2 linked regions of the Xenopus tropicalis genome follow. The protein of the gene in region 1 binds, or shares a complex with, the protein of each later gene. Links are inferred from orthologs where the notes say so. Each region holds a gene or a part of one and is shown on either strand. Other genes may lie near its edges.

What was found.
Region 2: crnkl1 (region 1) and gpkow share a complex: the UniProt entries of both Homo sapiens proteins name them as parts of the minor spliceosome. The link is inferred for Xenopus tropicalis from reciprocal best matches to the Homo sapiens genes CRNKL1 and GPKOW.

The regions. Positions count from the first base shown.
Region 1 is NC_030681.2:36,930,352-36,934,177, reverse strand, and holds part of crnkl1 (crooked neck-like protein 1), read right to left. Parts: intron 3,529-3,826; coding exon 3,437-3,528; intron 3,349-3,436; coding exon 3,190-3,348; intron 2,911-3,189; coding exon 2,744-2,910; intron 2,550-2,743; coding exon 2,371-2,549; intron 1,927-2,370; coding exon 1,756-1,926; intron 884-1,755; coding exon 692-883; intron 343-691; coding exon 283-342; intron 1-282. UniProt on the Homo sapiens protein: Involved in pre-mRNA splicing process. As a component of the minor spliceosome, involved in the splicing of U12-type introns in pre-mRNAs.
Region 2 is NC_030684.2:23,990,606-23,994,998, reverse strand, and holds the start of gpkow (G-patch domain and KOW motifs-containing protein), read right to left. Parts: upstream 3,020-4,393; 5' UTR 2,992-3,019; coding exon 2,786-2,991; intron 1-2,785. UniProt on the Homo sapiens protein: RNA-binding protein involved in pre-mRNA splicing. As a component of the minor spliceosome, involved in the splicing of U12-type introns in pre-mRNAs.

The sequences.
Region 1 (3,826 bases):
TAAAACTAGATTAACAAGTAGCAGTAAGAGCCCTAATATTTTAAGTTAAAATTCAAGATGGCTGAAGACATAATTAAAACAACAAAATCTCTCACTCCTGTGCAGAGATCATTACTATCACGTGAGGCAGATCAGCATTCACCCCTACCTGGTGTTGTGCACAGCGGCTGAAGAGTGGGCTGTTCTGCCTAGCTACAGGCAAATCCTCAAATTTAGGACTAGAATTTAGTTCGTAAAATGACATAAGGCTCATGGAAAACAAACAATTACAAAGACTCTTACTTTTTTGTGAGGGATTAGTTCTAAGCAGGCCTGGTAGACTTGCCTTGTTCTCTCTGGGTCCTGAAATTCAAAGTATGTAAAAAAACCATTAAAATCTGTCCATTAGCTAAGTGAAAAAAAATTTGGTTTGGTTTAGGGTTATTCCTTTTTTTCCTATAACACGCTGCTTTTATAAAAGGAAATGCAACAGATCCAGTCATAATAATCACACTTTATAAAGTGTATATGATCTATGTTTTTCAGACTGTTTTCTGCATTAAGAGATGTCTGACACACAACTGCCATCTAGCGGGCAAAAATGTGCAGTGTAATTCAATGTAAATATGCAGACAAAGAATGTCTGGTGCGCGCAGGATGCTAGGTTATTACACAGTTACAAGAGTTTCTTGTGGATTACAATTTTTTTCACCTTTGCTTCTAGCTCCTCATACAAGGCATAGTTTATCCACAGATAAATGTATCTCTTCCAGTGTCTCTTCTCCTTTGTAGGTGGGACATTGGCAATAGCCCGTTCATAAACTTCTCGAACTGTGTCAGGATCAGCATCACTTTCAACCAGCCGCAGATAATCAAACCAAGCATCGTAATTATGAGGATTTGCCTGGGGAGAAAGACATTTGTATATTTATCAAGTGATTTCTCCATCTTGTGCCATTTTGTTACCTATTGCTGAATTGCTCTTCTGGCATGAGATGTGACCAACTGCAGCTGTGTTATTCATTACGAACATATTTAAAGCTCATTTCATTGTGTCACAAACATTCGGACAGCACAAGTGTTTGTTACTTCCTATTCTGTTTCTATCCTATACAAAAAATAGTGCAGTGCAGACTAGAAAAACTATGCAAGCTCAAAATAATTTATATACTGTAATATGCAAAGAAATGGAAACTACCCAAGGACTACTGTTCAGGTTATGCCATAAGAAACATGTTAAAAAAACAAAAAAAAACAAAACAGTTTTGTGGTGCCAGTCAGTATTTCTATTTACTGTGGGCCATGTGTGCTAAACTGATCTTTCACATTAAACTTATGGGCAGAGCAGTGTTTGGGTACTGATTTACTATCACCATAAAAGTAATGATAGAGGGGCAAGTCGGTCGGTCACTTTCAAAAGCAATTAACCTGCGGCATGTTGCCAGTCACACACATCAAGAAAAGAAAAATCTGTAGTGTTTGAGGTCAGCTTCTTGACTGCTGGCACTTAAGATTATTTGATCTATGGCAGGCAATCGGTTAAATCTACTTAAAACTATACACACATTGCTCCGTTGCTAGAATAGAGTTCCTAACAACATTATCTAGCAGTAAACAGACTAAAAACAGTTCAAATGCCTAGAACCACCCTAAATTGGTTTAAGTACTATAAGTACGTGTATAGCCTACTTGACCCTGGTCAACTAAATAGCTTTAGTCTTTGCAAGCTTACTCCTAGTTGTGTTTTCTGTGTTGCATAAAATATTGCTCCCTTACCTTTACTTCTTCTTCATACTGGAACCTCCGTTTGTTGACTATAATATCTTCAATACCTCTCCGGTCACCATATTTCTTCTCAAAAATAGTGTAATTCTTGAATAACTCTTGGGCCTGTTGCTTTGATATTCTGTCCAAAGCATATTTATAGATGACACGGACTCTTTCAAACTGTGTAGAGAACAATAAACATGCTGAATAGGATGTAATCCTGTTGGAACTTTAACACAGTTACAGATGTCATCTGCATCTTCTATCACCAGATGACAAACAGCACATCATCATCCCAGGCTGGTCTCCTTGGACCTAAATTACATTCTATTTCACCCGTTTGTTGGGAATGTGGCAGTTTTTAGAATTAAAACAAATTGGAAGAGTAAACACATTTTTATGTAGAGAAACTTGATTTTAAACCTATTCTAATGCAATAAGACAGTAGTAGCTACATCTAACCTCACAGGAAAGGGAGAAGATAAGGAGCTGAAAACAGTTGCTAGGGTCAATTACTGACATATACAGAGCCTTGACAAATTCATTAAATGTGCTCCCATTGATGTCTCCCAATTTAATACAGTTTAAAATAACACAGCTTGGCTAAAGTAAATTAAAACTCACTTCTTTTTGATGCTCTTCAAATTTAGCAAATGAAACATACAGGTTTTCATCCATGTGATCTTCCCCGAAGAATTCCACGGACCTTTCATAAACTTTTCGTGCGTGGGCAATATAACCGTGCTTCTCTTCAAAGCGAGCATATTTGATCCAGTTCTTCACATCAGGGTGCACAATTACAAGTACACAGATGTTAAAGAATCAAATTTTCTGTGATATTTATGTTTTTACTTTGTACAGGTAAGGGATCGCATATCGGAAACCCTTGAACCCTAAATAGGTTTTAGTTGCAATGTTGGCATTATTGTACATCACAGCACCCACTCTAAAGAATTTCTTAACATAGTAACTTATCACATTTATACACAAAGGATATATCTCTCATAAATAGACCTGGCCCGGTCCACCTCTTTGTATCTGAGCTCAAAGTTGATGTAAGAATGCCAAGCTTGCTCCTCAGGTTGCCACTCCATCCAACGTTCAAAAACCTGCCGCGTTCCAGCCACATTTCCGAGCATCTCTTCCATATAGGTATACTTGTACCTTCAAACATCAAAGCACTGTCTTTTATTACTCGAAGGTCAAAACATTTCTTATGCTACAGCACAATCAATTTTCTAAAGGACATAAAATCACGACAGAAACAAGCTACATATTATCTACATTGTACATAGGGATTATCGACCTTAAGTTGCAGCACTCCTATAACACAAAATCCTTTACTAAAAAGTTACCCCCATAACTCCATATATTTCTAATTATTTTTGGTTACCTATATGTATAAATCAGCATAGTCTTTCCTTTGAAAAGTGACAAACCTACCAGAACTGATTGACCCTGGGTAGGGTAGTGATTGCTCTGTCCCAGATATTTCGTGCATGATTAACCTGGCGGCTCTTCATCTCCATCTCTGCATACTTCAGCCATAGTGTAATATTTCTGTAATCCACATCTAAAGCACGTTCGTATATAGACCGTGCCCTAAAAGCAAGAAAAAAAATTCAAATCATTAATAAGCGTAAATTTAATTTTAAGCCATCTATGCCAATTTAATTAAAAAAGTGAATACCTCTGAATTTCCTTTAGACTTTCCTCCCATTGTGCATATTTTATCCAGTTACTAATAACCGTCCTGTTCTTCCTAATGTTATCTTCAAAGGTCTGAAAGAAAGACACCACTTTTAACATTACGACTCTAAATAGAGATAATTATATCCTGTATTTATTGAATTGAGACATCAATTCATTTATGAATGAGACATCATCATGGACACAGGCAGCAGTGAATATCTCAATAATATCCTTAAAAAAAACATTTAGATTACTCTCTGGAAGTTCCGATAGTGTTCATGCATTGTTTTCTAAATTTTTCTGTATGTAATCATGTAAAAAATGTTAACAAAATGTATTTTTATACAACTTTTAGAATCATATCCCCAAAACCTTACTTGCAGCAGGC
Region 2 (4,393 bases), on another chromosome or scaffold:
TGCCTGTGTGTGCCATACTCTGCCTGCCCTACCCTGCCTGTGTGTGTGTGCCATACTCTGCCTGCCCTACCCTGCCTGTGTGCCATACTCTGCCTGCCCTACCCTGCCTGTGCGTGCCATACTCTGCCTGCCCTACCCTGCCTGTGTGTGCGCCATACTCTGCCTGCCCTACCCTGCCTGTCCTATGCTGCCTGTGTGTATGGCACATACAGGCAGCATATGGCAGGCAGAGTATGGCACACACAGGCAGCCTACAGTGACACAATCCTGCCACTGCTCCTACAGTCTGCACAATAACTATATATTAAAACACTTTTTTATTGCAGTACCACCACAGTATATGTTCTTTTTATAGTGTGCAGGGTCTATTTGTGGGTTTCTACTGCTCCTACAGTTGAGGTGTGAACAGGAATACAATGTGGGTGATAACAGCCTGAGCCTGAGGTGTGAACACTGCACGGGGTGAACAATGTAGGAATTAAAAGGTGTGAACAATACAGGGGGTTTACATCCTAAATCTGAGGTGTTAACCATGCAGGGGGCCAGTACTAATACCATTTAAAGCTTACAGAAAGGTAATCCATCAAAGCAGCCAGACAGGTGGGGGGGCTACACAGAGGGGGGTCGCGGGCCCACCCAGCCAGACCCTATGCAGTTGCTCTAAGGAGCAGGAAACTGTCTGGGTGGTCTGTACAGTCCCCACTGGGACAGGTGTTGAGCCCGGTGGGCGTCCCGTGTAGGGGTTAACCATTTAGGCAACAGGTAACCCTGTTCCTGGTGTCACCCGGGGTGTCAGGGCTAGGCCCTGACTGAAGGAATCCTGAAAAATCTCACTAGAGACCTGGCTGTCCATCCTCCTGGTAGGACGACACTTGAAAAACTGATGGATCGGGTACAGTGGAAGGGTAAAGCCCCACCTGGCACGTCCCTTTAATTTGTCAATCAAGTGTCTTGCCTCCTAAAAGGTGGAGCTTAACCCCATATGTCCCCGAGACGGAAGAAAAATCTATTATTCAAAGAGAAGCACATTATTATTTTGTATATTTTAGTGACACAAGCATCATTGCTACTGCTCTTTATTAAAACTAGCCCATTCAGCTGAAAGGATTATCTCCCCAGCCACATCAATATCTGACCCCTTTTGTATAACATTAAGGTGATGCTATAATATACATGCTGCTTGCAACGCAGGCCAAAGCTGTAGTAATAAAGAAGGAAGTGTTATAACAAGCATGAAACATAACAATAAATGTATTGCACATTTTCCAAAGTAATTTACCTTGCACCGAAAGGAAAAACCTCTGGAAGTGAAAATATTTTAGGCTAAGGACTACCCCACTGGCTCTCCTCTTCTTCTAAAAAATGCACCAGTATTGGGTGACTTGTGAACATAGTCATCTTCTTCTATTTTCCCACATATTCCCTACACCACCTTAAGCAAGCACCTGCAGTACACGACATTTTGCAGATATTTATGCTGCACATGTACCAAGTTCGATTACTGGGGCTGACTGGTATGAACGCACCAAATCCACTATTTTCGAAATCAGCCGAACCCCAAATCCTTAAAAGATATGGGCGAGTAACAAACTAAATCAGAATTTACATATAAAAGTTAGGGTAAGAAAGGGTTAAAGAGAACGGTCTGTGCTGCAAAAAAATTTCAGCTTCCATGTTTATGTGACAAAGAGTCACGTGGTTTTAAAGGAGAAGGAAAGGGAAAGTCACTTGGGGGTGCCAAAATGTTAGGCACCCCCAAGTGACTTGAATCGCATACCTTTTACCCCGGGCTGGTGCCCCTGTTCGGAGAGAACAGCACCAGCCCGGGGTAGCTGCAGCGCTTCCTCCGAGAAGTCGGCTTTTCACTCTACTGCGCATGCGCCTATTGTGTTAGTCTTAGCGAAATGCAGGCGGAAGCGCATCGCTGCAGGTACCCCGGGCTGGTGCTGTTTTCTCCTAACAGGGTCACCAGCCCAGGGTACGAGGTAAGCGATTTAAGTCACTTGGGGGTGCCTAACATTTTAGCACCCCCAAGTGACTTAGCCTTTCCTTCTCCTTTAAGGATTCAGTTCGGCCAGGATCATGGATTCGTCTGAATACTAATCCTGCTAAAAAAAAAAAAAGGACAAATCGTGGCCAAATCCCAAACCGAATCCTGGATTCAGCGCATCCCTAATGACCAGGAACAGGAAAACGATGTTGGTGGTGCACTGCCCAGAAGGTAGTTTCATATTTCTGTCTCTCTTTCAAATCACTGCATGGTTGCTATAGTAAATTGGACCCTAGCAACCAGACAGCTGTCAAAAATTTCAGACTTGAGAACTGCTGAACAAAAAGCTAAATAATTCAAAAATCTCAAATAATAAAGAATAAATACCAATTGTAAACAGTCTGAAAATAGCACTTTCTACATCATAGGTAAAGTTAAAGGTGAACAACCCCTTTAACAGACCTGGAGTACAGACTTCTGCTACTGCATGGTTTCAGGAGTCAGTCTATGGTCCTTCAGCTATTGCTAAACTGCAACTCCGACCGTTCCAAATACTGAAGTGAAGCTAGAGCTACATGGCAACCCATTAGCACCTCTAATATATAATATACAGTTGTATGGGTGCAGCAACAGAAATAGTAAAGAAGAGGTTAACCATGTGTACTATACACTATTATATAATAAGAGAGAAATAATACAAACCCACGCTGACTTTACAAGTAACTACAGCAGACAAACCCAAGCAGTGTTGCACTTGCCACTTTCTCCCGCAAACACTCTATATCTATATCTTACCTGAGCAACTCTTTACCCTCTGCCCCGACCAAATACTCCTTCTCGTCCTCTTCTCTCTCATCTCCATTGGCCACAAGGAATTTCTTTTTCGAACTGCGACTAAATCCAAAAGATACTGGAGCTTGCGAAGAGCCGCCAGCGGCCATTTTCTCGCTAGTAGCGCAAAGCATCCTGGGAAAGTCTACCAACACGATGAAAAGCTGCATTGTGGGAAGAGCAGGGCGTCGCAACGCATTGTGGGTATACTGGGATTTTCGTGGAGGGAACGAGGGTTATAGAACTAGCAGTTACCATGGAACGAGATTGTTTGTGTTCCTGTTCCCGAGAATGTGCATGCGTGGGTGCCTGTTCCCGAGAATGTGCATGCGTGGGTGCCTGTTCCCGAGAATGTGCATGCATGGGCGCCTGTTCCCGAGAATGTGCATGCATGGGTGCCTGTTTCAGAGAATGTGCATGCATGGGTGCCTGTTTCAGAGAATGTGCATGCATGGGTGCCTGTTTCAGCGAATGTGCATGCATGGGTGCCTGTTTCAGAGAATGTGCATGCATGGGTGCCTGTTTCAGAGAATGTGCATGCATGGGTGCCTGTTTCAGAGAATGTGCATGCATGGGCGCCTGTTTCAGAGAATGTGCATGCATGGGCGCCTGTTTCAGAGAATGTGCATGTATGGGTGCCTGTTTCAGATAATGTGCATTCATGGGTGCCTGTTTCAGACAATGTGCATTCATGGGTGCCTGTTTCAGAGAATGTGCATGCATGGGTGCCTGTTTCAGATAATGTGCATTCATGGGTGCCTGTTTTATTCTCTTATTGTGTGGGGGTAATATCTCAGCATGACATTTTATATTTCGTTATTCATGGGGATATGTCTGAACGATATCCTTACCACATGGGGTACATTTAACAAAAGCTGATGCAATGGTTCTACATGGTACTCCTAGGGTTAAGGATGTGCTGGGTGTGTCTAACCTGAGGATGAGTATGTGGCATACAGGGGGTTAAAGAGGTGTTGGGTGTGCACTACTGAAGGGTATTTAAGCAACAGGGGGGTGGGGGACTCCGTTTATTGCTTCTGATGAAGTGGCCGTGAGCCACGAAACGCGTTAAGCTGGGGAGTAACCGTTCTTCAATTATGTAATGTGTTTTTAATGGAAGCGACAAATAAAGGATAAATATTTTTATTATCACAGTAGTCCTGGCGTGCTCCATCCTACCATACCAATTTTTGTTGCCTGTTTCAGAGAATGTGTATTCATGGGTGCCTGTTTCAGACAATGTGCATTCATGGGTGCCTGTTTCAGAGAATGTGCATTCATGAGCGCCTGTTTCCTAGAATGTGTATTCATGGGTGCTTGTTTCAGAGGATGTGTATGTGGGTTCTTTTTTGCCTGTGTAAGAGAAAGTGTATGTTTTTGGGTCCATGTGTGCTTGTTTCAGAGGATGTGCATGTGGTTTCTTGTGTGCCTGTGTGAGAGAATGTGTATGTTTGTGGGTCCATGTGGCTTCTTGTGTGCCTGTGTGAGTAATCTCTGGGTGTGTCTGTGTCCATTCGTGCCAGTGTCAAAGGATGTACAGGTCCTTTTCAAAAAATTAGCATATTGTGATAA